2 linked regions of the Stegostoma tigrinum genome follow. The protein of the gene in region 1 purifies or fractionates together with the protein of each later gene. This does not show direct contact. Links are inferred from orthologs where the notes say so. Each region holds a gene or a part of one and is shown in the gene's direction. Other genes may lie near its edges.

Region 1 (7,052 bases):
ATCATTTAAATCAAATGTTTTTTTTTCCTCCTATCAAAATGGACATTATCACAATCTCCCACATTATACTCCATTTACCATATCTTTGTCCACTCACTTAACCTATCAGTAGCTTTCTGTAACCTTCCTGTGTCCTATACACAGTTTACTTTCCTGCATATCTTTTGTATAGTCAGAAATTTTAACACATACATCTCATACCACTTCCTCAAATTCCTTCTGGACCAAACCTCATGGAATTATAAAATGGCATGATGTATGTATGTTTTGTGGTTGACATTAGTAGGGTGCAAGGGATGAGTGAAATGAATTTCTGTGGTTGATTTTGTTTAGTAAATAATTAGTAAATAATTTCACCATCTTCCCATGACACAATGTATTAGTGCACATGATTTGTAAGTATTGGTTTAAATATTAGTATGGCTTGATAGTATAAGCAAAGTCATGAACTGGGACAATTTAGCTGGAAATATGTACTGATTGACAGGTAAAGCTGAAGACCCCATATCTGGTTGAACTTCAAGAGTCACAGAGTCATTCAGCATGGAAACAGACAATTTTGTCCAACCAGTTCATGCTGAACATAATCCCAAGCTAAACTAGTTCCACCTGCCTGTTCCTGGCTCACATCTCTCCAAACCTTTCTTACTCACGTACTTATTCAAATGTCTTTTAAATGTTGCAATCGTACCCACATTCACTACTTCTTCAAGAGGTTCATTCCACAAGCGAACTATCCTCTATGTAAAAAAATTGCCCCTTAAGTATTTTTTAAATGTCTCTCCTCTCACCTTTAAAAGTGTGCCCGCTAGTCTTGAAACTGACTCTATTTATACCCCTCATTATTTTATTGACTTCTGTAAGGTCACCTCTCAACCTCCTTCTGCACTTCAACTAATAAAGGCCCAGCCTATCCAGCCTTTCTTCATAACTCAAACCATCCAAACCCAGCAATATCCTGGTATATCTCTTCTGAATCCTCTCGGCCTAATATTATCCTTCATATAACTGGGTGACCTGAACTGGGCACAAGACTCCAGAAGATGCCTCACCAATGTCCTACGCAAATACCACATGACTTCCCAACTCTTATACTCAAAGGACTGAGTAATGAAGGCAAGCATGCCAATTATCTTGTTAACATTTTTCTGTTGTTCCCTACCTGGCAGTTGGCTAAATGGTTACAAAAACTGCAGGAAAAGCTCAGCAGCTCTGGCAGCAACTGTGGAGAGAAATCAGTGTTCATGTTTCAGGTCAAGTGACCCTTCCTCAGATTTCTGAAGGGTCACTCAACCCAAAACATTACCTCTGATTTCACTTCACAGATCCTACCAGACCTGCTAAGCAATTATCTTGTTGACATTTTTCTGTTGTTCCCTGCCCAGCAGCTTGCTAAATGATTACAAAAACAGAAATTGCTGGAAAAGCTCAGCTGCTCTGGCAGCATCTGTGGAGAGAAATCAGAGCTCACGTTTCGGGTTGAGTGATCCTTCCTCAGATTTCTGTTAAAGTTTTCCAGCAATTTCTGTTTCTGTTTCTGATTTACAGCATCCGCAGCTCTTTCATTGTTTTAAATTTAGTGGCTAAGTGGATGTTTGGACCAATAAGCAACAGGAGCTACAAGTGGCAGGAGAAAATATCTTGGAATCCTTGGGAACAAGGACAGTAGTTGGGAGGAGGTGTTCTAATATTAGAAATTTTGAGAGGAGACTGTGATTGGAAGGTAATCATCTACGCTTCCCTTTTATTAATGCAAGAGCTCACACTTTGGATTTGTTTAATTTGCCATGTTTCTATTCACTTGACCAGTCCGTTGATAGCTTCCATGTCACAGCTCTCTTACTCACTGTCACCTGAAAAGCCAAAGACCAAGTACTAGTGGAGCTCCACTGAAATCAGCATTCTAGTCAAAACACATGCTCTGACCATTCACTTCAAACCACTGTTCTAACCTTGGATCCAATTTGCCACTATTCCCTTTCTAGAGATTAATGAAGGAATAGATTTGTAGCAAACTGTTTATCCTTTCAGACAAGGAGGTTTAGCACAGAGCCTCAGGTGCATGTTTCCAAGAAAATGTGTTTCGATGAACAATGTTGTAATTACTGTAAGAACTGAGTAATGGCTCTAGATCACATACATTTATTAGGATGTATCGTGTTTATAATTTACAGTCATAATGCTGGGAATACTCTACACATTAGAGAGTATCGATAGAGAGAGCAACAGTTAACATTTGAAGTTGATGACTTTATATAGGCGTAAACATTTAAAGAAGGAAGCGATTTTCCTAAATTACAGGTATTTGGATAATTCCGCGCAGATACTGAGGGCGGGGCAGAAAAGCAAAGTACACTCATTTCGGAACAGGCAAGTTCGTATTTGTCGAGCGTTGTTTCCTTGTCCTCAACGTGCAGTAATCACTCCAGAGACTGAAGCGCTCCATCTCTCAGAAAATATTCCCGGCCCCGGATCTTCCGGGACACATCCTATTCCCAGGCCTCCCATGGCACAATCTCATTCTCAGCCCGGATGTCCCGGGACACTCCCATTTCTGGACATATTCCCACTCGCGGCCCCAAAACCCCGTGAAGCATTCCCATTCTCGGCTCTGGATCTCCCGGACACATTCCCAGCCCTATTCCCGGATCTCTCGGCGCATATTTCCATTCCCGGATCTCACGGGACACTCCCATTCCTGGATCTCCAGGGTCACATTCCTATTTGCGTCCCCAGATCGCCCGTGAACCCGTCCCATTCCTGGCTCCGGATCTCCCGGGACATATTCCTGATCCTATTCCCACATATCCCGGGGCACATTCTCATCCCCGGCTCCGGATCTTCAGGGAGACATTGTTATTCCCGGTTCCAAGACACCTTCCCATTTTCCGATATCCCGGACACATTCCCATTCTCAGATTCCAGGGACATATTTCCATTTTCATTCGTAAATCTCCAGAGACACATTCCCGGTCCTAGATCTTCCTAGAGAATTCCCTGCTCTGGATCGCCAGAACACAATCCTATTCTCGGATCTCCAGGGAGACATTCACATTCCCGGATTTCCAGGGGCATATTCACATGCCCAGCTCGGGACACATACCCTGATCTCCGGCTATATATTCTCATTCCGAGGAAGGGTCAGTGGTGTCGAAAGATTAACTCTAATTTCTTTCCACGTATGCTGCCCGACTTGCTGAGCTTTTCCAGCAACTTCTGTTTGTGTTTTCCATTCTTAGGTTTCCAGGGACACTTTCCTTGTCCAAGATCTCCCGAAGCAATTTCCAGCTCCGGGTCTCTCTCACACATTCCCAGTTCCCCAGTTACACATCTCCAAATCTTCGGTGACATTTTTATTCCTAGCTTTAAATCTCCAGAAAAAAAATCCTGTTCCCGGATCTCCAGGAGTTTATTTTCTTTCCCAGCTTCGGATCTCCAAAAATACATTCCTATTCCCTGATATCCAAGAGTTATTTTCACTCCCAGATCTGGATCTCCAAGGAAACATTTTTATTCCCAGATATCCAGGAGTTATTCTCATTTCCAGCTGCGGATCTCCAAGGATACATTCATTTTGCCAGGACCCCAGAAGTTATTCTCATTCCCAGCTCTGGATCTCCAAGGATACATTCCTATTCCTAGGTATCCTAGAGTTTATTTTTATTCCCAGCTCCGGATCTCGAAGGATACATTTCTATTCCCAGATATCCAGGAGTTTATTCTCATTCTCAGCTCTGCATCTCCAAGGATACATTGTTTTTCCCAAATGTACAGCAGTTTATTCTTATTCCCAGCTCTGGATCTCCGAGGATACATTGCTATTCCCAGATATCCAGGAGTTTATTCTCATTCCCATCTCCAGATCTCCAGGGATACGTTCCCCCATTCCCGGCCCTGAAACTCGCGCTCCGGATTCCTCCCGGTTGCTATGGGGTGGGGCTGTCAATCAGGTGACGTCGCCGCGTTTCCGGTGGGCGGCTTTGTGGTGTCGGGATCAGTGAGTGTGGTCGGGCCGGACCGGGCCGTTTAAGGTTGAGCTGTGACCGGGCCGAGTAAGAGACGAGACGAACCGTTTCTCGGCCATATTCCTCCAGCTCGGGTATACGAGCGGGCTAGCGGCGGCGAGCCGGAGAGCGGGGCCAACAGCCGGGTAGGAGCCCGGGATGAGCGCCGCCGGCTCCACACTGACGACAAGACGCGCAGGAGCTTCGGCGGAGCCAGGAAAAACGGGAGATGAACAACGCACTTGAGGAGACGAGCCCTCTTTCTGGGGCTGGGCTTCAGCTCAACTAAAGGCTTTACTTGGATTTTACAGAGGGAAGGAGAGATCTCTTTCTTGTTCTGTTATAGGGAGGTGGTCGCCGATAAAGAAGAAAATATTATGACCAGCTGGGCCTGAGCGCAGTATTCGTTTTTTTTCCCTTTTAACTTAAACCGTGAAAATGTCAGTTCCTGCCTTTTTAAATGTGAAATAAATCACTGCTTTGATCTCTTTTGGGTAACTGGACGCTGCTCACCGGCCGCCGTTTGAGGACGATAATTTTGAGAGTTAAAACAAAACTTGAGAGAATAAAATGTCAGCGAAGGTTCGCCTGAAGAAGTTGGAGCAGTTGCTCCTGAACGGACCTCAGATGAATGCAAGTTCAATGAGTGTGGAGACTTTGTTGGATATTTTAATATGCCTTTACAACGAATGTTGCAGCTCGCCTATACGACGGGAAAAATACATTGCAGAATTCCTGGAATGGGGTAAGCATATCCTTAAATGATCTTGTTTGCATTGGTATCGTGCTTGGAGCTGAGTCTAGATTCAAGAAACAGCTGTTTGTTTACTTCTGTGGAACTGGCTGAGCGAAATCTCGCTGATATTGCTCCTTAAAATCAAAAGATGAACAGTTACAATGAATGTGTAGGGTTTAATCAAAATTCTAAATGAATAACTCCGATTTTAATGTTTTGTTTGTATGTTTTGAATACGTCTTAAAAAAAGCTTTTTAAAAAGGAGACAAATAAAATACGTTTTAATGATTCCACATGTTCAGGCACACATCTGCTTCACTTTCTGAATAGCTTTTTTATAACCTAAAAGGGTTAGTACCAGTTTAGTCCATTGCTGCTGTTGCAGTCTGTTTGACCTTTTATTTACGAGTACTTCATTGTATGCAGGTTTCACGATCCTGTCAGTAAGTGAGCATGTGATTGGAATAAAAGACGCACGTCTCTACAGCTAATAAATTTTATTATGTAACTTATAGATATTTGATCATGCATGATATGTTTGCAGGGAAGTGGTAATAGTTGATAATTAAATAACCACTCTTATGCTCACAAGCTAAGAGGACTCAATTCCCAGTCTACTTTGTCATTAATAAAATTCACAACTGAATGGTGAGCCATTGCATCTGTTGAAGTTCACTTTTAACAAAGCTTAAAAAGAGGCACATGGTAAAAGGTAACAGATTGGCAGCTTGCACAGTTCCTTTTCTAGGAAGGTATCTATAGTATTTGATATCTGACATCATTGGGTGGTGCTAGCAATATATGATTGTTTGGAGTCTTATTGCAATCTATGCTGCTAATTTCGTGCACACTGCTTTAACGTAACTGGACTATGTTCAATGAAGAATTTCTGAACAGTTTTAAATTTCAATAATCCGAAATACACTGTGTGTGTGTGCATGTGTGAATCAGTTAATTTTTTATTGTGAATGAAACTTTGTATTTTAGTCGTCATAGGGATGTGATCTCTGAGAAGTCCACGAATTTTCCAATGTATTTACAGTATGAGATTTTATTGAACTTGAAGGTAGTCAAGATTTTGACAGTGACAACAGTTTTGGTACATAATACTTAATTTCTGGACTTTTTTTTTCCTTGTGCTTTATCTGTTTTCCTATGTTATTAATTAATCATGCAGATTGTTTTGCTTGTAAGGAACCTTCGCCACCTCTTTCAGTCAACCAATTTAGACATGTTATGACATATTCTGGAGCAGGTGGGAGCCCAGGCCTTTGTTCCCTGGGGTAGGGGCACAATCACTGTGCCAAAATAGCCCCCTCTCACCATGTCTTAATTATTTAAAATATTTGTTTATATTGTTTACAACTACAAAATCTACCAGACTCCAAGCTGCACCTTTTTAAAAACTAGACTTTTGAGTATTTATGCCTTTTTATAAAATAAATCAAAGGAGTATGAACCAACTAAAATTGAACATTTGTATGTGCTTGAGCATAAAACATTACTACTTAATAGAATAAGTTTTTTTGTCAAAAAGCAAATTTAGACAAAAAGCTAGAATGATCTCACCAATCCTATCTGAATACCTTTTACAGGTACTTGTACAAAATCTTGCAGGGACTGCAGAAAGGGTCTTACCCTTTCATTTATAACTCACTGACAAAACAATGTTGGGACAAGCCTCGTATCTGACTACATGCCTCTTTATGGACCTTTTCAAAGTCTGTCTTTTGGGGGGTTCCTACTTGATTGTGTGCATGAAATACATCATTTGTCAGTTGTTTTATAGGGATGAGAATTTGTCAAAACATAATTTTATACAAGAGAATCAGAAATTGATGGCAGAACTCAGTGGGTTTGGCAGCATCTGGAAGAAAACAGAGTTAACATTTTGAGCCCAGTGACTGGCAGTCCTGCTGAGTATTCCCAGCACTTTCATACCTCCAGCACCTGCAGTTCTTTGTTTTATTTTATGTAACTGTATACACTGATTTATGAGGAGTGAATGTGATTTTTGAATTTTTTTCATTTCATTTGGTATGAAATGTTATAGTATGGACCATGAGTAGTTTTGTAGTGATTGATACAGCTGGCTTACTAAGTCATTTCAGAGGGCAGCTGAGAGTCACACATCTGCCAGACCAGGTGAGGATAGCAGAATTTCTTCCCTGAAGAACATTAATGAATCAGAGATAATGGCAACTGCAGATGCTGGAGAATTCCAAGATAATAAAATGTGAGGCTGGATGAACACAGCAGGCCAAGCAGCATCTCAGGAGCACAAAAACTGACGTTTCGGGCCTGGACCCTTC
Region 2 (8,059 bases), on another chromosome or scaffold:
TGGCGGAAGTGCGGAGGAGCAATGGGGTTGTGGATTGTTTAGAAAAGGAGTCCAAGGATTGTATAGAGCTGGAGAAGGAGCGAAGAGGTTAGTAAGTGAACAGGAGTCTGTGTGGAATCGAACACAAAATTTGTACGGTTTAATAGCGGAGTGGTGCCGTTCTGAAACGTAAAAATACGAGGCCATAGGAAATTTTAGGAGCTAAATTAGTAAATTTCGATTAAGAACACTTCAAAAAACTGACAATTTATGAGAGATAATGGGAACTGCAGATGCTGGAGATTCCAAGATAATAAAATGTGAGGGTGGACGAACACAGCAGGCCAAGCAGCATCTCAGGAGCACAAAAGCTGACGTTTCGGGCCTAGACCCTTCATCAGAGAGGGGGATGGGGGGAGGGAACTGGAATAAATAGGGAGAGAGGGGGAGGCGGACCGAAGATGGAGAGTAAAGAAGATAGGTGGAGAGGGTGTAGGTGGGGAGGTAGGGAGGGGATAGGTCAGTCCAGGGAAGACGGACAGGTCAAGGAGGTGGGATGAGGTTAGTAGGTAGCTGGGGGTGCGGCTTGGGGTGGGAGGAAGGGATGGGTGAGAGGAAGAACCGGTTAGGGAGGCAGAGACAGGTTGGACTGGTTTTGGGATGCAGTGGGTGGGGGGGAAGAGCTGGGCTGGTTGTGTGGTGCAGTGGGGGGAGGGGATGAACTGGGCTGGTTGAGGGATGCAGTGGGGGAAGGGGAGATTTTGAAACTGGTGAAGTCCACATTGATACCATATGGCTGCAGGGTTCCCAGGCGGAATATGAGTTGCTGTTCCTGCAACCTTCGGGTGGCATCATGGTGGCAGTGCAGGAGGCCCATGATGGACATGTCATCAAGAGAATGGGAGGGGGAGTGGAAATGGTTTGCGACTGGGAGGTGCAGTTGTTTGTTGCGAACTGAGCGGAGGTGTTCTGCAAAGCGGTCCCCAAGACTCCGCTTGGTTTCCCCAATGTAGAGAAAGCCGCACCGGGTACAGTGGATGCAGTATACCACATTGGCAGATGTGCAGGTGAACCTCTGCTTAATGTGGAATGTCATCTTGGGGCCTGGGATGGGGGTGAGGGAGGAGGTGTGGGGACAAGTGTAGCATTTCCTGCGGTTGCAGGGGAAGGTGCCGGGTGTGGTGGGGTTGGAGGGCAGTGTGGAGCGAACAAGGGAGTCACGGAGAGAGTGGTCTCTCCGGAAAGCAGACAGGGGTGGGGATGGAAAAATGTCTTGGGTGGTGGGGTCGGATTGTAAATGGCGGAAGTGTCGGAGGATAATGCGTTGTATCCGGAGGTTGGTAGGGTGGTGTGTGAGAACGAGGGGGATCCTCTTGGGGCGGTTGTGGCGGGGGCGGGGTGTGAGGGATGTGTCGCGGGAAATGCGGGAGACGCGGTCAAGGGCGTTCTCAATCACCGTGGGGGGGAAGTTGCGGTCCTTAAAGAACTTGGACATCTGGGATGTGCGGGAGTGGAATGTCTTATCGTGGGAGCAGATGCGGCGGAGGCGGAGGAATTGGGAATAGGGGATGGAATTTTTGCAGGAGGGTGGGTGGGAGGAGGTGTATTCTAGGTAGCTGTGGGAGTCGGTGGGCTTGTAATGGACATCAGTTACAAGCTGGTTGCCTGAGATGGAGACTGAGAGGTCCAGGAAGGTGAGGGATGTGCTGGAGATGGCCCAGGTGAACTGAAGGTTGGGGTGGAAGGTGTTGGTGAAGTGGATGAACTGTTCGAGCTCCTCTGGGGAGCAAGAGGCGGCGCCGATACAGTCATCAATGTACCGGAGGAAGAGGTGGGGTTTGGGGCCTGTGTAGGTGCGGAAGATGGACTGTTCCACGTAACCTACAAAGAGGCAGGCATAGCTGGGGCCCATGCGGGTGCCCATGGCCACCCCCTTAGTCTGTAGGAAGTGGGAGGAGTCAAAAGAGAAGTTGTTGAGTGTGAGGACGAGTTCCGCTAGGCGGATGAGAGTGTCGGTGGAGGGGGCCTGGTCGGGCCTGCGGGACAGGAAGAAGCGGAGGGCCTTGAGGCCATCTCCATGCGGAATGCAGGTGTACAGGGACTGGACGTCCATGGTGAATATGAGGTGTTGGGGGCCAGGGAATTGGAAGTCCTGGAGGAGGTGGAGGGCGTGGGTGGTGTCACGGACATAGGTGGGGAGTTCCTGGACCAAAGGGGAGAAAATGGAGTCCAGATAGGTGGAGATGAGTTCGGTGGGGCAGGAGCAGGCTGAGACGATGGGTCGACCAGGGCAGGCAGGTTTGTGGATTTTGGGAAGGAGATAGAAACGGGCCGTGCGGGGTTGGGGAACAATGAGGTTGGAGGCTGTGGGTGGGAGGTCCCCTGAGGTGATGAGGTCATGAATGGTGTTGGAGATGATGGTTTGGTGCTCGGGTGTGGGGTCATGATCGAGGAGGCGGTAGGAGGTGGTGTCGGAGAGTTGGCGTCTGGCCTCGGCGATGTAGAGGTCAGTACGCCATACTACCACTGCGCCACCCTTGTCTGCGGGTTTGATGGTGAGGTTGGGGTTGGAGCGGAGGGAGCGGAGGGCTGCCCGTTCTGCGTCTTCGCCTGCATGCCTACTTCTTCAACCGGGAACCCAACCCTCCTTCCACTGACCCCTTCACCCGCTTCCAACACAAGTCCTCCTCCTGGACACCACCCCCAGGCCTCCTACCCTCCCTCGACCTCTTCATCTCCAACTGCCGTCGAGACATCAACCGCCTCAACCTCTCCACCCCTCTCTCCCACTCCAACCTCTCCCCCGCAGAACGGGCAGCCCTCCGCTCCCTCCGCTCCAACCCCAACCTCACCATCAAACCCGCAGACAAGGGTGGCGCAGTGGTAGTATGGCGTACTGACCTCTACATCGCCGAGGCCAGACGCCAACTCTCCGACACCACCTCCTACCGCCTCCTCGATCATGACCCCACACCCGAGCACCAAACCATCATCTCCAACACCATTCATGACCTCATCACCTCAGGGGACCTCCCACCCACAGCCTCCAACCTCATTGTTCCCCAACCCCGCACGGCCCGTTTCTATCTCCTTCCCAAAATCCACAAACCTGCCTGCCCTGGTCGACCCATCGTCTCAGCCTGCTCCTGCCCCACCGAACTCATCTCCACCTATCTGGACTCCATTTTCTCCCCTTTGGTCCAGGAACTCCCCACCTATGTCCGTGACACCACCCACGCCCTCCACCTCCTCCAGGACTTCCAATTCCCTGGCCCCCAACACCTCATATTCACCATGGACGTCCAGTCCCTGTACACCTGCATTCCGCATGGAGATGGCCTCAAGGCCCTCCGCTTCTTCCTGTCCCGCAGGCCCGACCAGGCCCCCTCCACCGACACTCTCATCCGCCTAGCGGAACTCGTCCTCACACTCAACAACTTCTCTTTTGACTCCTCCCACTTCCTACAGACTAAGGGGGTGGCCATGGGCACCCGCATGGGCCCCAGCTATGCCTGCCTCTTTGTAGGTTACGTGGAACAGTCCATCTTCCGCACCTACACAGGCCCCAAACCCCACCTCTTCCTCCGGTACATTGATGACTGTATCGGCGCCGCCTCTTGCTCCCCAGAGGAGCTCGAACAGTTCATCCACTTCACCAACACCTTCCACCCCAACCTTCAGTTCACCTGGGCCATCTCCAGCACATCCCTCACCTTCCTGGACCTCTCAGTCTCCATCTCAGGCAACCAGCTTGTAACTGATGTCCATTACAAGCCCACCGACTCCCACAGCTACCTAGAATACACCTCCTCCCACCCACCCTCCTGCAAAAATTCCATCCCCTATTCCCAATTCCTCCGCCTCCGCCGCATCTGCTCCCACGATAAGACATTCCACTCCCGCACATCCCAGATGTCCAAGTTCTTTAAGGACCGCAACTTCCCCCCCACGGTGATTGAGAACGCCCTTGACCGCGTCTCCCGCATTTCCCGCGACACATCCCTCACACCCCGCCCCCGCCACAACCGCCCCAAGAGGATCCCCCTCGTTCTCACACACCACCCTACCAACCTCCGGATACAACGCATTATCCTCCGACACTTCCGCCATTTACAATCCGACCCCACCACCCAAGACATTTTTCCATCCCCACCCCTGTCTGCTTTCCGGAGAGACCACTCTCTCCGTGACTCCCTTGTTCGCTCCACACTGCCCTCCAACCCCACCACACCCGGCACCTTCCCCTGCAACCGCAGGAAATGCTACACTTGTCCCCACACCTCCTCCCTCACCCCCATCCCAGGCCCCAAGATGACATTCCACATTAAGCAGAGGTTCACCTGCACATCTGCCAATGTGGTATACTGCATCCACTGTACCCGGTGCGGCTTTCTCTACATTGGGGAAACCAAGCGGAGGCTTGGGGACCGCTTTGCAGAACACCTCCGCTCAGTTCGCAACAAACAACTGCACCTCCCAGTCGCAAACCATTTCCACTCCCCCTCCCATTCTCTTGATGACATGTCCATCATGGGCCTCCTGCACTGCCACCATGATGCCACCCGAAGGTTGCAGGAACAGCAACTCATATTCCGCCTGGGAACCCTGCAGCCATATGGTATCAATGTGGACTTCACCAGTTTCAAAATCTCCCCTTCCCCCACTGCATCCCTCAACCAGCCCAGTTCATCCCCTCCCCCCACTGCACCACACAACCAGCCCAGCTCTTCCCCCCCACCCACTGCATCCCAAAACCAGTCCAACCTGTCTCTGCCTCCCTAACCGGTTCTTCCTCTCACCCATCCCTTCCTCCCACCCCACGCCGCACCCCCAGCTACCTACTAACCTCATCCCACCTCCTTGACCTGTCCGTCTTCCCTGGACTGACCTATCCCCTCCCTACCTCCCCACCTACACCCTCTCCACCTATCTTCTTTACTCTCCATCTTCGGTCCGCCTCCCCCTCTCTCCCTATTTATTCCAGTTCCCTCCCCCCATCCCCCTCTCTGATGAAGGGTCTAGGCCCGAAACGTCAGCTTTTGTGCTCCTGAGATGCTGCTTGGCCTGCTGTGTTCGTCCAGCCTCACATTTTATTATCTGACAATTTATGAGCTTGTTTTACAATTAAGCAGTGGAACAATACTTTACAAATACTTGGCGTTTTGTACGAATCCCTCTTTGTGTCGGCAATTTCAGTGAATAGTTTGAAGTGTAAATATTCGACGGCATTAGGACCCAGCCAAAGAACCGGTGTTCCATTCCCTGTCGGTAGCAAAGAGTAGGGGAGGCACAGAAACAAGTCTGCATCACAGACAAGGAACGGGGAGGAACAACTGGCTGCAAAATACCTTTTGCGTTCTCCTGGCAACATTCCTGACGCAGATATCCCAGCTTCTCCAACAAACCACCACGCCCTCACCCAAGCCCGCGGGACGTGCGGCTTGCATTCTGATGAAACCACGGTGCTGACTGCAGGTAGATGATAGACAGAGCTCAGTGTAGAAACCTGCAGCACGGACAACATGAACAGGACTGATCGGCAGCGTGTGGTAATTCATCGGTCCGTGTTTCGGTAAATATAGGTGAGCAAACATTCTACCTTGCTACGTGAACAGAGGTTTACATTCGATTATATTTACTGGTTCATCAAAACAGACGCCCCGTTGTAAGGGGAAAGCGGGTTTGTTTTTTGATTGCTTTTGTATCTACCTGAAGAAATGGTGCCGAACGTTAGAGAAGGTGAAACGAAGTGGATTGGCGGGGTAGCACTTAACCCATTAAGCCCCCTTCCCGGAATCTGTTTTTTTTATGTGCGCCATCTGGGGCCAACCACAAAGGATTCCCCTCTGTAGAGTATTTATTGCAACGATAAGGAAATGAACCCCGTCATTGACTCAATTATAGATTCAACAGAGTCTAATAACTTCGAATTGTCAAATGTTCAAAATATTCTTTATATTTAAAGTATAAAATATAGATCGTCTGCAGAGAAGCAGACTCTGGGGAAAAAATCTTCAGATTCAGAATGGGAAACTAGTCATTTTGATGAAATATTTGAGGAGTAAACTAGTCAGGCAGACCTCTTATAAGTTTAGACCAGAATATTCTGTACCTTAGGATTGGGACGTTATGACCCTACAAAATGGTTACACTACGGAAGGAAGCCATTCATCCCGCAGAGTCCGTTCCAGCTTTCTGCAAGAATAACTAAGCCAGACCCATCTCTCCATTGTTATACCCTGTAGCCCTGCAAGGATGTTCACTTCAGGCACTTATTAAACTCCCGTTTGAAAGTCACAATTGAATCTGTCTCCACCACACTAAGAAAATGCATTAACCACTCACCAGGTAGTATTTCTCGCACCACCCTTGATTTGCTATTCGTCTTAAAATAGTGTCCTAAGGTTCTTGATTTTCTGCGAGTGGAAATACATGTGCTCTGCCTAATCTGGCCTGATCCGTCATGATCTTAAATGCCTTTAGCAAATCCCTCACCTTCTCCACTCAGGAGAACACCAGCTTCCCCAATCCATTCAGGTAATTGCAACTGAAGTTCCTTATCTCTGGAATAATACTTGTACCTTAAAGCCTTCAAACACTTGCTAAAGTTCTGTACTAGAATTGATCACAGTTGAAGCCAAACCAGCATTTCATCAGGATTCATAATAATTTGTTTGCTTTTATACTCTATCTGCCAATTTATAAAGCCCAGGATCCTGTGTGCCTTTTAGCCACTTTTCAATCTATCCTGCTATCTTAAAAACATCGTAGCAAAAGCTGTTGCTGTTTCAGTATCCACTGAATTCTGTTGCTTATTTTGTATTGCTTTTTCTAATTTTTTTCTATTAAAATGTGTCATTTCAAATTTCACTTTGTTAAGACATGCTCGCCAAGCCAGTGGGTTTGGTTGCAAATGTTTCATCACCCCCTCATAGTTAGTGTGCCTCTGGTGAACCATCAGTGTTATGTCCCACTTGTTATTTATAGCCTCAGTTTTTTTGGGTGTTTGGTACCACTTACAGGTCAGTTTCTCAGTGGTTCGTACACAGGGTCTAATTCAAGGTGTTTGTTGATGGTGTTCTCGTTGGAATACCAGGCCTGCAGGAATTCCCTGGCATGTCCCTGTTTGACTAGTGCAATTATCTCTGGACTGTTAATCCAGAGACCCAGATAACATTCTGGGGATCCCAGAGTAAAATCCTGCCACTGCAGATGGTGGAATTTGAATACAATAAAATATTTGGAATTAAGAATCTAATGATGACCGTGACTCTGTCGCTGATTGTCAGAAAAACCCATCTGGTTCGCTAATGTCCTTTAAGGAAGGAACTGCCATCCTCACCTGGTCTGGTCTACATGTGATTTCAGACCCACAGCAACGTGGTTGACTCTTAACTGCCGACGACAGATGACAGCAGGACGACACAACATGATCAGACTGACTAATCACCCTCCTGTACATCAAGGACGTTTCAGAGATGGCCACAAGACTACTCAGAACCCTAGGTATCAGAGTAGCCCACAAACCTACAACTACCCTACAACAGCTGCTGACAAACATAAATTATCCCATTACCAAAACTGGCAAAAGCGGTGTAATATACAAAATGCCATGGAAGGACTGTGAGGAAACACTACGTAGGTCAAACCAGAAGAAAGTTACACCAACAAGCCACCAAGAAGCACAGCCAATTCTCACTTGTCTCACGACACATGGACAGCAAGGAACACAAATTTGACTGGGACAAACTTCCATAATTGTACAAGACAAACTGAGACATGCCAGGGAATTCCTAGAGGCCTGGTATTCAAACTGGAACTCCATCAACAAATGCACTGAATTAGACCCTGTATACAAACCACTGAGAAACAGAACTGGAAGTGGTACTAAACACCCAAACAAACTGAGGCACGTAATAAGCAGGACGAAACACTGACACTTTATCAGAGGCACACTGATGATGTTACCTTGCAGAGTGACGAAATGTTTGGAACCAAACCCACCGGCTCAGCGAGCATGTCTGCAACCTCATCCACAACCCAAGCGACATCTTCTTGAAAACTTATTCATTGTTAGATT

Evidence for each region. The genes of interacting proteins can lie anywhere in the genome.
Region 2: the proteins of cdc42bpb (region 1) and fam167aa purify together in Homo sapiens (co-immunoprecipitation; 3 studies listed by BioGRID and IntAct, counting the BioPlex papers as one, with this or other methods). This does not show direct contact. The link is inferred for Stegostoma tigrinum from reciprocal best matches to the Homo sapiens genes CDC42BPB and FAM167A.

What each region holds. Positions count from the first base shown.
Region 1 is NC_081363.1:39,356,270-39,363,321, reverse strand, and holds the start of cdc42bpb (serine/threonine-protein kinase MRCK beta), read left to right. Parts: upstream 1-3,949; 5' UTR 3,950-4,574; coding exon 4,575-4,749; intron 4,750-7,052. UniProt on the Homo sapiens protein: Serine/threonine-protein kinase which is an important downstream effector of CDC42 and plays a role in the regulation of cytoskeleton reorganization and cell migration. Regulates actin cytoskeletal reorganization via phosphorylation of PPP1R12C and MYL9/MLC2.
Region 2 is NC_081357.1:77,765,806-77,773,864, forward strand, and holds the start of fam167aa (protein FAM167A), read left to right. Parts: upstream 1-4,996; 5' UTR 4,997-5,561; intron 5,562-8,059.